Linked DNA regions of Arabidopsis thaliana. The protein of the gene in region 1 interacts with the protein of each later gene in a pairwise test. Each region holds a gene or a part of one and is shown on either strand. Other genes may lie near its edges.

Region 1 (5,413 bases):
ATAACCTCTATAAATTAATAAATTCTTCCGGTTCTGAGTTGAGACCAGTATAAAAAGTGACAAAAATCGATAAATTAATAAGATAATAATTTTTTTGAAATCTATGTAAATATATGGTCCCATCAATATCATAAATTAATAATTGTATAAATGTATCAACTATATATATATATATATATATATATATATTATATGTAAAAAAAATTCTCTAAAATATATTTATAATATTTTTTTTGCTTAAATTCATATTTATTCTTTGTTTGATTATAGTTTTCATATTTTACTGTATCAAAACTTTTGATGTTGTTTTTTAGACATTATTATTATGTTTTACTTGTAAATGGTTCTATAAATATATTTTCTATAATGAAAGAAATCTTATAGAAATTTTTAAAACATTACCAAATTAGGAAAATTTCTCTATTATCTATAAATTAATACCTCTCTAAATTAATAAAATTTTGTAGTCCCAACTTTATTAATTTATAGAGGTTTTACTGTACTTCAAAGTTCTTCGTCAATGATTTAATTATCAAGATATTATAAAATTGTTTACCGAGATTTTTGGTAACTATTTGAGTAACGAATATTTGAGTAACGAATCGATTAAATAAATGCACTCTCAAAATGTAAATATAGAAGATCAAATGTTATCGCTGGCAAAAAGAAAAATAATGAATTTCCAATTTACTACCTTGATTAGAAACATCAAACTAGGTAATTTTTCACTCATTCTGAAACAAATTTGGTATAAAATCTTATTACATGAAGTAAGTAACGTATTTACCAAAACATTAACCAGTAAATTAGCAAAACAATTGCTTGCTGGGGAAGAAAACCAAATTATAAATACTCTCCAAATCCTCCAGTTTTAGTCACACAAACAACTCAAAACACAAGAGAAAGATACAAACTTATTCAATAAAAATGGAGAAAGCAGCTTTGATATTTATCGGTCTTCTACTTTTCTCAACATGTACGTAATTTTTTTGGATAATATGTTTAGTTACATTCATCGCCATCTTCTTCTTCCTCATCTATATTATATATCATCATGAATTCATGATCAATAACATATTTAATCTCATAGGCACACAAATTCTGGCACAATCTTGCAACAATGACTCTGATTGTACTAATCTAAAATGTGCAACGAAGAATATCAAGTGTGAGCAGAACAAGTGTCAATGCCTTGATGAAAGATACATCCGTGCGATATCGCTTAACACGAGGTCACCGAGGTGTAATGTTCAATCTTGCATTGACCATTGCAAAGCAATAGGCGAAGTAATTTATGTTTGTTTTACGTACCATTGTTATTGTCGCAAACCTCCAATGTAATAACAAAGTTATCATAATCATAGTATCTTTAACTTCTTTTACTGCGGCAAATTTCAACATATATTGTTTTATCATAACTATAAAATATGTCTTTAATAAAAGAAATTAAAACAATAATAATATATCTTACAAAATATTAATTATTTACGAGTTACAAGTATAGATTGGCGTTTTTGTTATTGTGGGCTTTTGGGTCCAAGATTGTAATACTGAGCAAAGATTTGATTGGACTCTCTGCTTCCTTCGAGGAAAAAAAAAGTAGAGTGTTGGACAAGCTTTTTGTCCATCTGTTAGTCCGTTAATTATCGCCGTTAAACATGGACGGACGCCGTTTACACTTCCTGGCCCGGTAACTATTTTTGAGTGCATATATCTCTTTCTTACCTTTTTTATCTTCTCTAGCTTATCCGAAGCCAAAACAACAAGGTAAGGTAAAGTAAAAAGAATTTTGAGAGTAAAGTGAAAACGAACCCTTTAAACTCAGTCTTCTCTTTGTCTGATTTAAAATGGAAACGAAAGACAAGAAAGAAAAAGGACATATGGTTTTAAATTCCGACAACGTTTTCGGTTCGGTGTCTTCGTCTCCGACAACAACAATCCAAAACCCTAATTACTTTACCTCCTTCGAGAACCCTAATTTCCCTTACATTTTTCCGGTTTGTCTTCGTCTCCAAAAACCCTAACTTTTTTACATATTTTTCTTAAAAAATTAATAACTTTATTGTTTTTGTGGGTTTAGAAAGAAGAGTATGAGGTGATGAGCAAGATCGAAAGCGGGTCGGGTAAGTCAACCGGGTCGGGTCATGACCCAGTGGAGAATACTGCAATCGAACAAGAGCCTCCTGCGGCGAAGAAGAAACGTTACCATAGACATACTGCTAGTCAGATTCAACAAATGGAAGCGTACGTCTTCTTGCCCTTTTAGTTTACAAGTTTATTATGTCAAAAAAATTATAACGATGATTTATGAAATGATGTTTAAAATATGAAATTTTGCCCTTTTATTGTAGATTGTTTAAGGAAAATGCTCATCCGGATACCAAAACAAGATTGAGATTAAGTAAAAAACTTGGTCTCTCGCCGATACAAGTCAAGTTTTGGTTTCAAAACAAACGTACCCAAATCAAGGTAACTAATCACTCTTTAGTTTGGTTTGATTTTAACAAGGTTAGTTAGACCATATAAACCGGTTTAAAATTGGGGTTAGAAACTCTGGCTAAGACCATTCATGTTAAGAAATTAAGCTTTTGTTGTTGCTAATACTGAGATTAACAGGCACAACAAAGTAGAAGCGATAATGCAAAGCTAAAAGCAGAGAATGAGACTCTAAAGACAGAGAGTCAAAATATTCAGTCCAATTTTCAATGCCTTTTTTGCTCTACTTGTGGCCACAATCTCCGCCTCGAAAACGCTCGCCTCCGCCAAGAGGTATGTATATTCGAATGAATCAAATCTTGGCTGTTGTTGTTTATCTACTGAATCATATGGTTATCATATGTTGCAGCTTGATCGTTTACGCAGCATTGTTTCCATGAGGAATCCTTCTCCTTCACAAGAGATTACCCCGGAGACTAATAAGAACAACAACGATAATATGTTGATTGCGGAAGAAGAAAAGGCGATTGATATGGAACTTGCAGTTTCTTGTGCTCGAGAATTAGCAAAGATGTGTGACATAAATGAGCCCTTGTGGAATAAGAAGAGACTAGACAATGAGAGTGTGTGTCTGAATGAGGAAGAGTATAAGAAGATGTTCTTATGGCCTCTAATGAATGATGATGATCGTTTTCGCAGAGAAGCTTCAAGAGCTAATGCAGTCATCATGTTGAACTGCATAACCCTCGTCAAAGCATTCCTTGATGCTGTAAGAATAAGTCAAAAACACATTCCTTATATTCATTGTTTAAAAACTCACATTGAACCATAAATATGTTTAACCTTTGCTTCAAGGATAAATGGTCGGAAATGTTCTTCCCCATAGTCTCAAGCGCCAAAACGGCTCAGATCATTTCTTCTGGAGCTTCTGGACCAAGTGGTACTCTTCTTCTGGTAAGTAATTTGCAATTTTACAATAGATAGAGTGTTCACATTAATTGGTTTTAAGGTCACTGAATCTTGTCTCTCTTTTCAAAAAAGATGTTTGCAGAGTTACAAGTAGTGTCTCCATTGGTACCAACAAGAGAAGCTTATTTTCTTCGGTATGTGGAGCAAAATGCTGAAGAAGGAAAATGGATGGTTGTAGATTTCCCGATCGATAGGATCAAACCAGCATCAGCTACTACTACTGATCAATACCGGAGAAAACCTTCTGGTTGCATCATTCAAGCAATGCGTAACGGATACTCTCAGGTCACATGGGTAGAGCACGTAGAAGTAGAAGAGAAGCACGTGCAGGACGAGGTTGTTAGAGAGTTTGTGGAGAGCGGTGTGGCCTTTGGCGCTGAACGGTGGCTATCTGTGTTGAAGAGACAATGTGAAAGGATGGCTAGTCTCATGGCTACAAACATCACTGACCTTGGAGGTATATATATAACTTGTTTCACAAGTAAACCTCAAACTTCCACAACCAATGTGATTAGTTATCCGTTTTCTCGTGTTTTTTCCTTCAGTGATACCTTCTGTAGAAGCGAGGAAGAACTTGATGAAGCTGTCACAGAGAATGGTGAAAACTTTCTGTCTGAACATAATCAATTCACACGGACAAGCACCAACAAAGGACACAGTTAAAATCGTAAGCAGGAAAGTTTGCGGTGGTCTTGTTCCTTGTGCCGTGTCAGTCACGCTTCTCCCTTATTCTCATCAACAAGTCTTTGATCTTCTCCGCGACAATCAACGTCTCTCTCAGGTAAAGAAAGTAAAACCAGAATCTTCTTCCTCTGTTCTTTTGATCCAAAGATTCTGAAAATCGATTCTCTGCAGCTGGAGATCTTGTTCATGGGTAGTTCATTTCAAGAAGTTGCTCATATCGCTAATGGCTCACATCTTGGAAATAGCATCTCTCTTCTTCGGATCAATGTTAGTGATTGATTCAAAATCCCAACAAAAAAAAAAATCGAATTTTGATTTTAAAACTTAAAAAGTTTGGTTTTTGAATTACAGGTGGAGAGCAATTCATCGCATAATGTAGAGTTGATGCTTCAAGAAACATGCACCGATAACTCCGGGAGTCTCCTGGTGTACTCTACCGTCGACCCCGTCGCTGTTCAGCTCGCCATGAACGGCGAAGATCCTTCTGAAATACCACTTTTGCCCGTTGGATTCTCTGTTGTTCCAGTGAATCCATCCGATGGTGTCGAGGGCAGTTCCGTCAGTTCGCCTTCGTGCTTGCTCACTGTTGCAATACAGGTCTTGGGGAGCAACGTCACCACCGAAAGACTCGATCTTTCCACCGTCTCCGTCATCAATCACCGTATTTGCGCCACTGTCAACCGTATCACTTCCGCGCTCGTCAACGACGTCGGTAATTAAGAGAAGATTTGGAGGGTATTTTGGTAAATAATCGCAGCTAAAAAAACTTATTATTTGTTGAGGTAAATTCGATCCGATACAAAGGGTAAAAACTGGAATTTACCACTAAATCTTTTGGGGAGTCAAGAACGCACCAAGGCATGATTTGTTGAACCGGGGTTTATCCGGTTTACCAACTGCTTGATTGGTTCGGGTATTGACTTCCAACTTGGTTAAACGAAAACGTTTTATATTATGGTTTTGTTCAAAACAAAGCTAGTTTAATGCTAATTACGAAAATCTACTTATGGTTTATTATTCGTATTGAATCCTTGTAAAATAATGTACAACTAGGAAAACCACCTCACAAATTAATTGCTCAGAAACCAAACAATCCACTTAACAATGCAAACAACCAATTAAACTTTGTCGAGCATACATAATACATTATGTGATCCACATTTCCAGATGGATCTGATCTTATGAGAAGCTTCGTAATTAGTAATTAGAGTAGGACTCGAACCGTACGAGCGACGACGGCCGTGGTGCTTTTGGACGTTGATGCCTAGTTATCGCCTAAACCACTTTTTAGAAAAGTTTCTTTATAGTATTGGCTCTGGGAACT
Region 2 (5,741 bases), on another chromosome or scaffold:
GTTGATTGGGCTCTTTTCAAATTTTGTATGGATCTAAATTCGAAAATAATCCATTAAACCATTGTTTATAATATTAAATAACCAATAACAAAAAAAAAAAAAGTTCTCGCCTTCTCGGTTTAATCTTCATTCCTTTTTTTTAATACTCTTTTTTTTTAATTTGTTGAGAAATTGGAGATTAAAAATAAAGCCCAAAATAAAATAAAAAACCCCGGCCCATTAACAGTTAGTATTAAACAGCTTTTGCAACAGACGGCGGTAAACGATAAGATGGTGTTTTTTATGTCGTATCCGCCGACACGGCGGCAGTTAGTAGTGTCGGTGGGTTTTTTCGCGGCGGGCGTTTCTCTCTTCGTCGCCGGAGCGTATCTCTCACTCGCCAACATCTCACCGCAACAAGCTCGCGTCAAAGCTCGTAATGATTTCGTCAAGGATCGAATCAGGAAATGGCTCGACGATTAGTGTCTTTTTTTCGATCTTGTAGGCGTTCTAACTCTTAAATGATATAAATCAAAAGACGATTTCGTGTAAATTCATGCTCTTACATGTTTGGATCATTACCAGTTCAAATTCATGTTTTATGTCACTTACAGATGAGAGAATCACTCTTGACAAAACGAGCGAACAGAGAAAAAATGTAGATGTAAAGTCTTTAGATTCTGTTATCTCTGCGCTGAAAATGTGAATAAAATTTCTTGATCATATTACCATCTTGATTTTCTGGCATTCTGGTTCTCGCCTTTCGAAGCATCCGATAACCGCGACTTTGAAACAGATCCACCGCGGAAGTTACTTAGTCTCGAACCCGAGAGGATATGGTGATCTTTTGAAGAAGCCTTGTTTGGTTTATAAGCTTGTGTTTCATCTATATACCCTTTAGGCTCAACGTCAATAGATCTTCCCCAATCCAACCCTCCATCTCCACTTTTTTGAAGCTTCTCGCTCTGTACAACCCAATCAACACAATCCGATATGCTTCTTTGTAAAGAAAGGCTTTTCCTTGGCGTTGATTTTCTTCCTCTGTTCTCTTCACCATAAGGCCATTTATAGCTCTTGTTGTCTATGTTCAGTTCTATGGAATGAAGGTCGCTTTCGCCTGAACCTTCTTCATTTCCATTCTCGACTTCTCCATCTTCGATGTTATATGATCCAAAACTGATGTGATGGTTTAAATAATCTCCAGCCTCTTCGTTATGTAGCTGAGTTTGAGGTGGTTCACGGGTCTTCTCTTTACATCTTTTTGCTTTGAGGTAAGTTTGAAGCTGGTTTCTTAGCTTATCAACAGCTGCGTTTTTCTCCTCGAGCTGGTGTTTAGCCTCCGATAGTTTCATCTGTACTCTCTCTTCCCGCAATGCATCTGCTAACTGCAACATCTCTCTTTCCTTTTCGACTTCTTCTTTGACTTTAAAAGATTCTCTCTTCAGTTCTTCAACTTCGGCTTTGTCTTCGCTTATGTCTCTTGCTAGTTCATCACAAACTTTCTCAACCATCACTCTCGCTCGCTTCTCGTTCTCGATTTCTTTAACTGCTTTCATCAGAGCTGATTTTGTTTCAGCCAATTCTTTGCCCAATTTCTTGTTCAAGCTCTCAAACCGTCTCCTCAGCTTCCTCTCCACTTCTAGCTCACCAGCAACAGATTCGATTGCAGCCTCAACAACTTCTTGCTCGTTGCTTTTCCACACAGCTTTCTCTTCGGCAAAACGCTTCATCAAGTAGCTAATGTCGTTGTTTTCCGGTTTATGTTCGTGGATTAACTGATTGACCTGTAAGCGAGCTCTTTCGAGCTCAGAATGTAAAGCAGAGACGAGGGACATGCTAGAAGATGGGCGGTCGTCTTGACCCCACATTCTGTTAATGATTTTGAGAAGCTCTTTTGATGTTGTGAGAGCGTTACTACAATCCTTCAACCGTGTTTTGACACCCACAGTTGACCCAGTCGGTGTCTCCACCCGTGATCGAGTCTCAATCTGCATTGGAAAAACACATTTCAAATATTTTTGAACATCACTCTCTTGCACACATATTGATTTATAGATGATGGAGGCAAATTAACTAATCATAACGGATTGAGTGTCTCCTAGTTTCTTATACCGTTATTTGCAATGTTTCTGTGCATAACAAAACAAACCATAGATTATGTGTACGTATGCTTCCAAAGTAAAAAAACCAACAGCCTCTGGAGCCAATAATGCTCAATAATATACTACTTTCATCCTTAATCAAATACCAAATTTGGTTTGAGAAAATTATGAAAACTGCTAGAAGAAAGGGTTCCTCATAATGCTCAAAGAAACATCCCCAAGAGTGAAAAAAAAATAAAAAAATCAACTTACATCCATGAAGCTGCCACTGTTAATAGGATCCCTAGCCCCCACATTGCAGTCTCCAAGCCTAAGCTTTTGCACAGTTGATGAAGCTCTTCTCTGGCGACTCCCAGTCCCTGATCTTTCCATCCTCTACAAAAATCAACAAGTTTCTCAGCTATCCAATTACCTAACACACAGAAGTAAAGAAAGCAGAATTCTTCGCATTGTCCATTGCCAGATTTAGCATTATATATAATTTTTCTTAGGTCTCCATTATAAGAGAATCTAGGCCTACATTATTCACAATAAATCAACCTCTAAAAAACAACCAGCTACCTCCATATGACCAACGAATGAGAAAGAATAAAAACTAGTAGAAGTGCCCAATTATGCAAGAATAATAGGCACCAACTTATAAAGAAACGCCCTTTCATATAAACATAAATGTGCGTTATAGAGCACATGACAAAAGATTCTTAAGATCAAAACAGTTTTCTATTCTTCTCTAATCCCACTCCTTAACATCAACCAGAAGCTTATACGAATAATAATCTCCCTTGATGATTAAAATACTCATAGAGGTTGCCAAAAAAATCACAACTTTGACTAAATTCAGACCTTAGAATCACACAAAGATTATCAATTTTATCAGTTAAAGATGAGATCTTTATAACTTCCCCGAATCAATCAATACTATACTATATATATTATTGTTTTTCTCTCTCTCTTTTGATCGGTCAGAATTAAAGCACATGGCAGCCAGCAAGAAGTTGGAATTACAGCACATTCTCTTCCTCTCAACCAATCATAACCAAAGCATTTTACCTCAGAGACTGGACTATGCGACGGATCAGAAAGATGAGGCGGTAGAGAACCAGAATGAACCGATGATCTCGGCGGAGGAAGCGGCGCGATTCTCTCCTTTCTACTCTTTCTAATCATTGGCGCAGCCTCCTCCACAACTCTAGGTGAAGGCATCTCGTTCATCTCCCAAAGCGTCGCAGCTAACTTCCTAGCTGAAACAGGAGCAGGAGCTGATACTTTACCGGTTTTGCTCCCGCAGTGAGACGACGGAGAAGCAGCAGCGTGTAAAGCACCGGAAGCTCGTGGAGAAGGAGATCGACCCATAAGTCTCCATGTAGGTACAGGAGTAGTGGATCCTCCTCTTTTACCAACAACTATCGCTCTTTTGAATCTATAACCTTCACGGAGAATCGAAGAAGTCGACGATGTCGGCGAAGAACAACCACGTTTCCTGATTTTGCCAAGTAGAAGTAGATTCTCTACGCTTTGATTCTGCCTCGGCATATTCAAAACAATTGTAGATCTTTCTCTTTACCTGGAAAAACAAAAAGCAGATTCAGAAAATTTCACCGATCTGTTAGAAAAAAGCACAAAGACCAAAATTGAAGTTTTTAGAGTGAGTAAGAACACTTACAGAAACTTCAAAGCATTTCTATGGCTTCTTCTTCTACTTCAGAAGATAAAGTTGGAATGGGAATTGGGGGAATTTGGAAAGAAATGGCGGTTGCTGTGTTTTGAGGTTTTTTGATCAGACTAGTGTACAGAGTGTTATGTTAAAGTGAAAAGGGGAAAGATGACAGGAGTACTCATCTTCTGTGATAAGGAACACTGTAACATGTCCACGTGGTTTGATCTGTATGGATTATGGATGTTGCTCCGTGATTTACAGGGTGGATGATTTGTAAACCGACTTAAACCGAAATAATTGAATCGAAAACCGGAAATCACTTCCTTTTTATCGGTCCTGAAATAAGAGATTCTCAATTAGAAAAACAAACTAATCAACAAATTTCTTTAGTGAAGAACAAACTTATATAAATAGTATTTAGCAGTAAACATTATTTATATTTGGTTAGTATATGGTAAGAATTCGAATGAAATAGATCCTAAGTTCAATTTCACATGTTAAACCAAAAATTATGTAGATGTCATGAATTTATATCCATATTTCACAAAGTTTGACGGCTCATTGAGAACAATTATTTTCGATTAGAAGAAAGTCCATCTGCCTAAATAAAGGGAACTAGTGCATCTAATTTTATATTTGACCAAAAATATTATGCTCGTCTATGATATACTATGGGTTAATTTGGAGATTGGATCGTGTTTGTACTATATAGGGTTTCTTAAATGACGTGTTTGAGTAGGATGCATTAGATTTTAATCATTTGATACACAATTACATGAATCGATAAAAGACCAAATAATCTAAGGTTGTTCTTTTTACCAAACCAAGATTTTTAGGTTATAAGAAAATAGTTCCTTTAGTAGATTCCTAATGTGGACCAAAATATCTTGTTAATCTCATGCTTATGACTCCTAAATCATATGATCATGTTCCTATATGAGGTATATAATATACCATTTTTCTCCATTAGACGAGTGTGAGTGAGAACCGGTGTGCTTAAGTTACTCATTACAAAATGTGTCTACTACTATTCCAAGTATATAGATATTCATTTCAATAGGTTTTGAAGTTTTATCTATACCCACAATTTCACAAATCACAACCCGTTATAATTATAAATGAATATTGATATTACAGATTTACACTCGTGTAATTGAAAAATGGATGACCGAAGTATTCATGTGAAACCATGAATATTAAAATGCATGTATTATTTTTTTTATAGCAGGATGATCAGATATGATTTCCTAGTTTTCAAGATATTGCATCCATAAAATTCACAAGTTAATTATTTGATCAAACTAAACAATTGAAACTGTAAACGTTACAAAGAAAGATAACACGGCCACACTTTTTTCCGTTGTCAAATGGACACGTCCAAGTGGAGGAGATGATTCAACATACACAATCGTACCGTATTATTGTTCAACTCTTTATTGTTGTAAACGTTTTTTGTTTGGGTCAAGTCTCTTTATTGTTGTAAACACGATTCTTTCTATAGTACTTTCTGTCACATAAGTTTTTTTTTTTTTTTATGGTGAATCCGGAAACAAAATCTGTTCGAAAAGACAATTCAACCTAGAAATAGTTGGATCTACATCATATCAAAATATATAGGTAGCAATCAATATAAAACATTAAATATATGAACAATGTAAGACTATAGTGTTAGATACAATTGCGTACAAAAAGTTCAAAATATATATGAGTCAGGCCCAACTAAGATATGAATGCCCAATAAAGAACTAAGAAATTGGTTGCCAGAACTGTATTCCTATGGGAGTCTTCTTACTTCTGACTTCTAATTTCTAACAACAATTTAGTTTTTTTTTTCTCTTTTTTTTTTTTTTTTCTTTTGGCTGTCAAAGATCTAAGTTGTAATAGTTTTGTCATTTGATGAACTTTTCAATTGTAATAGCTGACTCAAAAATTTACCCAATCACCATCAGTATACCTTATGGTATGAATGCATGAATCTATGGTCTACCAACCATCAATCTTTC

What was found.
Region 2: the proteins of HDG4 (region 1) and AT3G11590 interact in a two-hybrid assay, tested with the Arabidopsis thaliana proteins (one large-scale study listed by BioGRID).

The regions. Positions count from the first base shown.
Region 1 is NC_003075.7:9,855,723-9,861,135, reverse strand, and holds HDG4 (homeodomain GLABROUS 4), read left to right. Parts: upstream 1-1,847; coding exon 1,848-1,997; intron 1,998-2,080; coding exon 2,081-2,244; intron 2,245-2,351; coding exon 2,352-2,469; intron 2,470-2,616; coding exon 2,617-2,769; intron 2,770-2,845; coding exon 2,846-3,205; intron 3,206-3,291; coding exon 3,292-3,390; intron 3,391-3,477; coding exon 3,478-3,862; intron 3,863-3,950; coding exon 3,951-4,186; intron 4,187-4,260; coding exon 4,261-4,356; intron 4,357-4,440; coding exon 4,441-4,809; 3' UTR 4,810-4,881; downstream 4,882-5,413. Other genes in the region: AT4G17713 (Putative membrane lipoprotein), read left to right, coding at 928-976, 1,091-1,341. UniProt on the Arabidopsis thaliana protein: Probable transcription factor.
Region 2 is NC_003074.8:3,658,501-3,664,241, reverse strand, and holds AT3G11590 (golgin family A protein), read right to left. Parts: upstream 3,945-5,741; 5' UTR 3,745-3,944; intron 3,646-3,744; 5' UTR 3,615-3,645; coding exon 3,132-3,614; intron 3,079-3,131; exon of another isoform or gene 2,457-3,078; coding exon 2,334-2,456; intron 1,968-2,333; coding exon 705-1,967; 3' UTR 508-704; downstream 1-507. Other genes in the region: AT3G11591 (bric-a-brac protein), read left to right, coding at 271-462.